Linked DNA regions of Macaca fascicularis. The protein of the gene in region 2 purifies or fractionates together with the protein of the main gene of each other region. This does not show direct contact. Links are inferred from orthologs where the notes say so. Each region holds a gene or a part of one and is shown on either strand. Other genes may lie near its edges.

Region 1 (4,266 bases), on a different chromosome or scaffold from region 2:
GTCCCACTAATGGAAATGGAAATGCCTGAGCCAGGGCCAGCAGGGTCCAGATCCAATAAAGAGACTTGGGCTGATGGGCAGTGGTATAACTATATTTATTGTGCCTGGGAGGCAAGATGAGGGAAAAATCTCAACAGAAGCAAGTTTGGGGAAAATCTGGAGTCCCCAGTAAAAAGTAGGAAGGTCTCTGCTGTACCCATCCCAGAATGGGAGAGAGGGCTCTCAATAGATCATTCCCTTTGTTTCTCCCCTGGGCTTCTTGAGCTTCTCGAAGTTCTTCAGGATGATGTCATATAACACAGCCTACAGGGCCAGGGAGGAGTGGAGGTCAGTCAGAGGCCTCCAGTGGCTCTGTGCCCCATTTCTAGCCTTGTGGAGAAGCTGCGCTTTGTCACCCTTTACCCCCAGCCTGCAGGGTCAGGGAGTGCGTGGCCTGGGAAAGCTGCCTCTGCCCACCCCTGCCCTCGCCTCCTCACATAAGCATTGCGGATCTCCATGACCATCAGCCGGATGTCCCGGTACTCTGCCTCATCCAGCTCGTGCACCAGCTGCCGATAATCACCCTGTGGGAAGCTCGGGTCAGGCCTGACCTTACATGAGTCCTTCCCTCATGCACCCTGACCTGGGCCTCACCTACCACATGGGGCTGCTTGGCTGCTTTAGTCACTGCATCACCACGCTCAGAGAAATACCTGTGGAAGGAGAAGTGTGTATGGAGTAGAAGAAGGAGGTCTCTGTCCCAAAACAGACAGTGTGTACATGGGTGGTCACTCACTTAGAGATTTGGGTGTGGAAGCCTTCTAGCTTGGTGTGGAGGCTGGTCATCAGCTCAAACACCTTCTCCTAGGGAAAAAAAGCAAGGGGGAAAGTAGAAGGAAGCATGGACTAGAAAAGAGCAGGGAAGTGGGGCAGCACTCTCACCTGGACAGCCACTCCAAAATTGTTACCATCCTCAATCCGAGGTATCTGCAGCTGCAACCAGGTGGTGACCTGGGAAGAGGGAATGGCGTAATGCCACATCAGCCCTCTATCCAATTCCGTTTCATATTCTCCCTTGCTTCCCTCCCCACACTGGCTGGAGGCATGCCAGGTCTCTCCTGAGCCTCAGAGCCCGGACTTCTGGTTTCACTTGCTGTGCCCTCTCTTGCTAAAACCTGGCATGTGCCAGGCCCTAAATGGCAGGGACTAAGAGGACAATGGTTTGACTTAAAGCCTGAGAGTTGAAGGGGGAGAGCCTACCAGGTTGAGCTGCTCAATGACATCCTTGATCTCAGGCTTCAAGCGCTGCAGAAGGACCAAGATCTTTTCATTGCAGTTCACTGGACCACAGGGAGGACCTAGAGAGTGAGCAATGGGTCAGTCACATGATTGAGCCTGTGTGAGGGTTGAAGGGGAGAGTAGAAAGAAATCCTTAGGAGTAGCTCCTGTGGGTGGGACTCAAGTCTCTTCCCACAATTGTGGTTTCAAGTACCTTTGTCTTCATCCTCCCCCTTCTTCTTTTCATCCTTGTCTTCCTTCTGCAGAAAAAGAGGGGCTCATGAGAGTCAGGACTAAGGTTGATTACCCCCATGGTTGGATCCCTTCTCCCAGGTCTTCCCAGCTTGCCTCCTGCTGTTTCTTCCGTTCCTCTTTCTCTTTCTCCTTGACTGGATCAGGCACTGGGATGTCCAACGGGGCCTTCAGATTGCTCAGGTTGGCTTCATTGAGAGCTGGCTCCTGGTGTAGGGTGGGAGGAGGGCTGGAGGTGAGGGGGTTCCTTTCACCTCACTCTCACAGCCCCTGACCCTTCTCTTGGCCTTTACTCCCTAGCTCCCTGCCCAGCTGCGGTACCTTTAAAAATGCATCCAGCTCAGAAATCTTCTTGGGGAAATAGCTCCCGAGCAGGTTCTCTGTCTGTGTGTGAGGTGGGATGGAGAAGGATGGGAGTCAGCATCATATGCCCATCCTAGGTGGTGAGGCAGGGTTGAGCAGTAGGAGTTGGGCAGGGGTGGGGCCGCTGATGGGGCATGTCTTACCTTGGTACAGAGGTCTTCACGAAACACATCCACCTGTGGGGCACATGCATCCCTTCAGAAACTTGGCTTTAAGGCCAGTTCATTTGAGGACAGTTCCCTTAGGGTTATGTAGGGCCTGACCTGGGGAAGGGTGGAGGGGATCCCTCTAAGGCCAGACCTGAAGAAAGCGAGATGGATGCCTGTGGGGTGGGTTGGGGTGGTGGAGGAGTGGAACTCTGCAGACCTGGATCTACGGAGAGTGGAATGGGTATCCCTAGGGCTGGATACGGGGGATGAGAACATTCCTGGCAGTGAAGGGCCAGTGGTTCACGTGAGACCAGATCCCTGGGGTCGCCTGGCAGGTGTGAGGAGGGGTGCTGAGAGCCCTCTGCGAGCAGGACAGGGACGGGGTGGGCCCCGGGACCCTCCCTAAGGGAAAGGCCACGAGGTAGCTGGGGCAGTCCCGCATCCAGTCTGTGTGTGGCCCCGGCTCCAGGCCAGCGGAGTTCCCCTCCACGCCAGCTCTCCGCTTCACCTCACCCCACAGAACCACGGCCGCCTCGCCTGTCCCCGCAGGCAGCAGTCACCGCCCTCCCCGGGGCGCAGGTGCTCCGGGAGCGCCAGCTCGGCGGACTGCCCCTGACTTGTGTGGGAGTCTGGGGGGCGGGTCGGGGATGCCCCCGGCCGCTCGAGCCACGCCTCCCCAGTGGGCCTTTTCTAGACCCCGCGGCGCTCACCTTGGCTTGGGCCTCGGGCTGAACCCTGAGCGTGGCCATGACCGGGACGGGGGGCCTAGCGCCGCACGAGGAACGGAGTGGGCACCGCGAAGGGAAAGCGAAAGCGGCGCTCGCACCACTCACGGCCTTCCTGGGTAGTGGGGCGGGGAGGGCTGGAGGAGGCGGGGTCAGCCCGGCCAGGGAGAGGTGCAGTGCAGCAGAGGAGGGCGGCGGGTGCGGCTCCCCCTAGCGCGCACAGGCTGCCTCGCGAGGGCCAGTTTCCAGCCTCCCCACCCCCGCCGGCCGGGTCCCCGCCTCCCCGCCCTCCTCTCGTCCCCGCCTCCCGCCTCCCGCCTCCCGCCTCCCGCCTCCCGCCTCCCGCCTCCCGCCTCCCGCCTCTCGCCACTCGCCGCCCGCCGTCCGAGGACGCCGGGTCCTCCCATCGTCTAGTCTAAGCCAGTCTCTCCGCGCCCCGCCCTCCACCTTCCGCCTCCCAACTGGCTCCCCACCTGCTCTCTTCTTCCCCTGCTCCGCCTGGGACAGATAAGTCTTACTTAGGGCTCTTCTGTCTTTCCCCAGAGATGGAATAAGACCTGGCCTCTCTTTCCTAGCCTTGCTAGCGTGGGCCTCTGGCTCTGCCGACATCCTCCGCACCTGTAGCAACACCGGCACCAGAGCCGACAGCATCCCTATCCAAGCCCGGACCAGCTCTCTCCTGGACCACCGCGGCATATGCCATTCTACAGCCCACTCTCACAGAGCAGCGGGTTCATGCCTCTGTCTGGCTTAAAACCCTTTCTCAGCTGCCTGTTGACCTTAGAATGAAATCCAAAAGGCTGTTGCAGCTGTCTCCCCTTTAAGTTCACTTTCTACTACTTGCCCCTTCATTCATTACACTTGCAAATACTCGGGCTATTTGTTTCCCAAATGTGTCATGTTCATTCCTGCCTCAGGGCCTTTGCCCTTGCTAATAATCCCTTTGTCTAAAACACACTTACCCTGGGTGTTGTCATTCGGTTCTCAGTTTAGATGTCACCTCTTCAGAGACAACTATTTTCATCATCCTCTATAAGGAACCTCCCTCCAAATGCATTACAAATCAGCCTGTTTTAGTACATTCATAGCATTTATCTCTGATATTAGCCCGGTTTTTTTTTTTTTCTCCCCAGGATAATTCACTGATTTAAACTAGCAAACTGTGTGTGTGTGTGTGTGTGTGTGTGTGTTGGGGGACAGAGTCTCACTCTGTCGCCCAGGGTGGAGTGCAGTGGCACAATCTCAGCTTACTGCAACCTCCACCTGCTGGGTTCAAGCGATTCTCCTGCTTCAGCCTTCGCAGTAGCTGGGACTACAGGCGCGTCCCACCACGCTCGGCTATTTTTGTATTTTTAGTAGAGATGGGGTTTCACCATGTTAGCCAGGATGGACTCGATATGCTGACCTCGTGATCCGCCCGCCTCGGCCTCCCAAAGTGCTGGGATTACAGGCATGAGCCACTGCGTCTGGCCAGCTTTTTCTATAAAGAGCCAGAGAGTAAATTGTAGGCTTTATGGGCC
Region 2 (4,496 bases):
TTCAGTGGTGCAATATTGGGCTCACTGCAACCTTTGCCTCCCGGGTTCAAGTGATTCTCCTGCCTCAGCCTCCCGAGTAGCTGGGATTACAGGCATCAATCACCAAGCCCGGCTAATTTTTGTATTTTCATTACAGACAGGGTCTCAACATGTTGGCCAGGCTGATCTTGAACTCCTGACCTCAAATATCTGCCCACCTCGGCATCCCAAAGTGCTGAGATTACAGATGTGAGCCACTGCACCCAACCAGAACTCAGGAATTTTTGAAGGTGATCATTCAATGTCTCTCAAATTTATTTGACAAGAGAATAGCATGAAGTTTAATGCTTGGATTAAAGCAGGAGGCAAATAATCATCTCAGATATTATTAATCACTGCAGATGTTAATCAAAATTAGGTTTATTTTTCAGGCTTAGATTTTATAACAAAGCAAAAAATGCTAAGGTAAGAAAAATATGCCTCATCAATTTTTCTTTGCTATTAACAATCTATGCTATTAACATAGAACATAACTATGTTCTATGGAACATAATGTAAGTAATATTGACCTAACCCTATATACTCATTTTGCATGTGAGGAAATTGGTTAGGAGGGGGGAAAGAGACAACATAGTTCAATATATGGTAAATGAGAAACCAGGTATCTGCTTGACAGAATCATCTTTTTGATCTCTAAATACAGATGGAAAGAAGCTCCTCAAAAATCTGTCTCCTGTCCCCCACTCAGACCCTATTCCTTTACACTCATCCCTGTACACTACTGGGACAGGTCACATACGCATTCAGACCCCAGATCCTCCTCCACAAATTCAGAGACCCAAGCGCCCACCAAATAGCTTATCATAGTGGCTTTTTGGGAAGGTCAACTCCATTCCTCCAAAGCTCCGATTTGCCAGTCTTTTCATGAATGGGTAAGAAAAATGTGTATTTGAGGCCATTAGCTTCTTTCCAAATGCATACATCTTCACTTTTACTTACCCTGCAGACACTCGGGAATCAGAACCCACCACAACGCCCCCGTCAAACTCCACTGCCATGATGGTGGTCTGCAGAGACACAGAATATGGAATATCAGGGCAGGAAGAGCCTTGATGCCCTCATGTTAGAGAAGAAAAAATATTCCCAGAGAGGCGAAGTTGACTGGCTCAAAGATCACACAGTAACAGGCCAGAGCTGACTGTCAGTACAGGCTTTTTTCCCTTCATCTTTCCACTTTATCTATTGCTTCATCTGGCTGCAGGGGAATGCCACAGCGCAGCTGTGATACAACACAGAAAGAACTGTGGCCCTGAGTTCCAACTTGCCTAGTGGAATCCTCTCCACTGTAAAGAGAGAGGTGGAGATGAGGTTCCTACAGGTAGAAGTGAAGCAGCTCCACAAGTGAAAATTATCTCCATGGGAAAGGCTCCTAGTATGTGCAGATGTGGTTTAGACCCAACACAGAGCATTTGACTATGATTCTGGGAAACAAGGTCAGCCTTTTCTTTTCTTTTCTTTTGTTCACAATCCTCCACTCTCAACCCCCATTTCATCAGAAGTGAGCTCTTTCAATTTATTGAACAGTGGAAAAAATCGAGGAGGGCAGTGGTTAGCATGGCCAGCGGCAAGGCAGGAGAGAAGCAGCAAGGAACACGTAGATGGTTTAAAATAAAAGTTTCAGTTATGGAATTTCTGATCAAGAGGTAAATATCTCAGCAGCCAGGGGGGTAAATTTGTACCAAGAGAGGATTTGACTGAGAAGTTTAAGTTGACTTTTCCAGGTCAAGAAAAGAATCAAGAAAAAGTGAGGGGAGATAGAGCTACATTTTTCCTGCTGCTGAGTTGGAAGGAGTCTTAAAGATCCTCGGTTCAAATGAGGAAACCAAGTCACAGAAAATGCAAACGACTTATGCAGAGTCACACAGAATTAATAGTAGACCTGGGACTAAAATTCAGGTCTAACTCTTATCCCTTGTTTCCACTTCTACTTCCTACTTGCCACTGCTCATTTGGCAGTGAGGGGAGATTTCCCAGAGTATAAGTGGTTTCACTGTGCCTTTCTTACCAGGCTGTAAATTACTCTGGCCCCAAAGGACGCTTCTCTGAGTGTGCTTTCCGACGGACCGACTTATCATGAACAGAGGGTCAAAGAACAGGGTTAACTTCAAGTTAGAGGCTATTCCTCTGTAACAAAGCTGCCCCCAAGCCACGAGTGGTGGCAGTAGTCCAGAGCAGAAGCCAGCCAGCCAGTCTTGGGACTGCCATCTGCCCCAGGCGCCCATCCTAAGCAAAGTCCCCCCAGTGGGCACATGGGAGTGGGCAGGGAAGACACAGGGAAGGGAGCAAGGCAGCATCTGGGCCAAGGAGGAGCCTTTCTGGGTCAAGCTAGGGAAGGGCATCACTGGTTAACGCAGAACCCCCATTATCAGTGCTTGGGCTAAGAGTTACCCAGTGGCAAGTTTATCAAAAGTCTGTGTGATGAATTGGTCCTTCTCAATAAGTGCCTATATTTCCTTCTCCCAAGTGCTGTTCTACTTCACCCAGGGAACCATTTCTTCATCTCTTTGCACCATCCCCAACCCCCTTTCTTGATTTAACCAGCCCCCACTGTCTGGGACCAGAGTGAAAGCGAAAGCGCTTTAGAGTAGCTTCCCCTTGACGCTTCCAGCTAGGAGTCAAAGCACCCCCTTTTCCACCAGCCTCGCGTGCCTGGTCCCTTCACGGACACGCTAGGCGACCCCCCCCGCCCCCCAAGAAAAGAAATACCCTATGCTGACTGCGGGTTGCAAGTGCTGGCTGCTAGAGGCTACCTCCCTACGTTCCCGTCGGTCTCTGCATTCACTTCTCCGCGCTTCCAGGGTCCCCTGGCCGGTACACCTCCTCCATCCCTGTGCCAACCCTCAAGCCCAGACCCATTACCCCGGTGTGGACTTCTCCTGCCCGGGGTAAGTCCCCGGTTGGTGCTCCTGCCCGCAGCATCCCTGCCAGGCGCCGCTCTCCTCGCCGCCTGGGGCACTGGTTTCTGACCTGGGACAGCGCGCAGCGCGCAGCCAACAGCCCCGCCCCTTCGCGGCGCCGCCAGGAGGCGCCTGGGTGCTGCTGTGCGCCTTTGCGCGCTGCGCGGCGGCTTTGCGCGCGGCGCTAACCTGTATAGGGCAGATCTGCCCGGAGACAAGTGACGAGACAGCCCCGCCCTGAGGCTGGGGTGGGAAAACTGGTGCTAGTGGGAAGGCAGGAGGCAGGGAGAGGCGGGAGGGGTGTGCGTGACGGAGAAAATTGGGCACCAGGGTTGCTCCCAAGATTCTCAGATCTGATTTCCACGCTTGCTCCCAAAATAGTCTGGGCAGGCCACTTTTGGAAGTAGGCGTATCTAGTGAGCAGGCGGCCGCTTTCGATTTCGCTTTCCCCTAAGTGGCTGCGCTTCTCGCCAGCGCAGGATCAGACTGTTCCTGGGACTTTCCGAGAGCTCCGCCCTCTCTCCCTCCCCCAGCCGCCAGTAGGGGCGGACTCCGCGGTACCCAGAGCCTCAGGCCCCGCTGGAGCACGGAGAGTCCCAGGGCCGGCCGGGACCTGAACGGCGTCGGGGTGCCAATGGCTAGCTCTAGGTGCCCCGCTCCCCGCGGGTGCCGCTGCCTTCCTGGAGCTTCTCTCGCATGGCTGGGGACAGTACTGCTACTTCTCACCGACTGGGTGCTGCTCCGGACCGCGCTACCCCGCATATTCTCTCTGCTGGTGCCCACCGCGCTGCCGCTGCTCCAGGTCTGGGCGGTGGGCCTGAGCCGCTGGGCCGTGCTCTGGCTGGGGGCCTGCGGGGTCCTCAGGGCAACAGTTGGCTCCAAGAGCGAAAACGCAGGTGCCCAGGGCTGGCTGGCTGCTTTGGAGCCATTAGCTGCGGCACTGGGCTTGGCCCTGCCGGGACTTGCCTTGTTCCGAGAGTTGATCTCGTGGGGAGCTCCAGGGGCCGCGGATAGCACCAGGCTACTGCACTGGGGAAGTCACCCTAGCGCCTTCGTCGTCAGTTATGCAGCAGCACTGCCCGCAGCAGCCCTGTGGCACAAACTCGGGAGCCTCTGGGTGACCGGCGGTCAGGGCGTCTCTGGAGACCCTGTGCGTCGGCTTCTAGGCTGCCTGGGCTCGGAGATGCGCCGGCTCTCGCTGTTCCTGGTCCTGGTGATCCTCTCCTCTCTTGGTAAGGGGAACGCAGGGCAAGAGGGGAGGACATAAGGGGACCGGGACAGGAATCAAAAGTAATTGTCAGTGAGGTAGAGTAGCGTGGGTTCTGGGAAATGTGGAGCAGGGGAAGGAATCCTAGCATGGGTCTTGGAACACCACTTCAGTGTAGAAGAAACGGCATTGGACTGGCAGGGCCAGAAGTTCGAGGCTTGATTGATGGCCGGGTCTTGATTCTCTGGGCCACGCCGGAGGCGGGGAAATCCTTTGCTCTGGGGCCGAAGGGCGGGGCATCCTCATCTCTAACAGGAGGCTTTTCTACTTCATGATCTCCAGCCTTCCTAATA

The links.
Region 1: the proteins of PSMB9 (region 2) and PSME1 purify together in Homo sapiens (affinity purification with mass spectrometry; 3 studies listed by BioGRID and IntAct, counting the BioPlex papers as one, with this or other methods). This does not show direct contact. The link is inferred for Macaca fascicularis from reciprocal best matches to the Homo sapiens genes PSMB9 and PSME1.

Annotation. Positions count from the first base shown.
Region 1 is NC_088381.1:91,949,865-91,954,130, reverse strand, and holds PSME1 (proteasome activator complex subunit 1), read right to left. Parts: upstream 2,886-4,266; 5' UTR 2,771-2,885; coding exon 2,732-2,770; intron 2,049-2,731; coding exon 2,016-2,048; intron 1,894-2,015; coding exon 1,831-1,893; intron 1,717-1,830; coding exon 1,606-1,716; intron 1,518-1,605; coding exon 1,472-1,517; intron 1,338-1,471; coding exon 1,240-1,337; intron 991-1,239; coding exon 922-990; intron 844-921; coding exon 776-843; intron 693-775; coding exon 638-692; intron 564-637; coding exon 477-563; intron 304-476; coding exon 223-303; 3' UTR 77-222; downstream 1-76. Other genes in the region: EMC9 (ER membrane protein complex subunit 9), read left to right, coding at 1-29. UniProt on the Homo sapiens protein: Implicated in immunoproteasome assembly and required for efficient antigen processing. The PA28 activator complex enhances the generation of class I binding peptides by altering the cleavage pattern of the proteasome.
Region 2 is NC_088378.1:138,874,035-138,878,530, forward strand, and holds the start of PSMB9 (proteasome subunit beta type-9), read right to left. Parts: upstream 3,003-4,496; 5' UTR 2,959-3,002; coding exon 2,899-2,958; exon of another isoform or gene 2,045-2,898; intron 1,047-2,044; coding exon 979-1,046; intron 354-978; exon of another isoform or gene 141-353; intron 1-140. Other genes in the region: TAP1 (antigen peptide transporter 1), read left to right, coding at 3,571-4,168. UniProt on the Homo sapiens protein: The proteasome is a multicatalytic proteinase complex which is characterized by its ability to cleave peptides with Arg, Phe, Tyr, Leu, and Glu adjacent to the leaving group at neutral or slightly basic pH.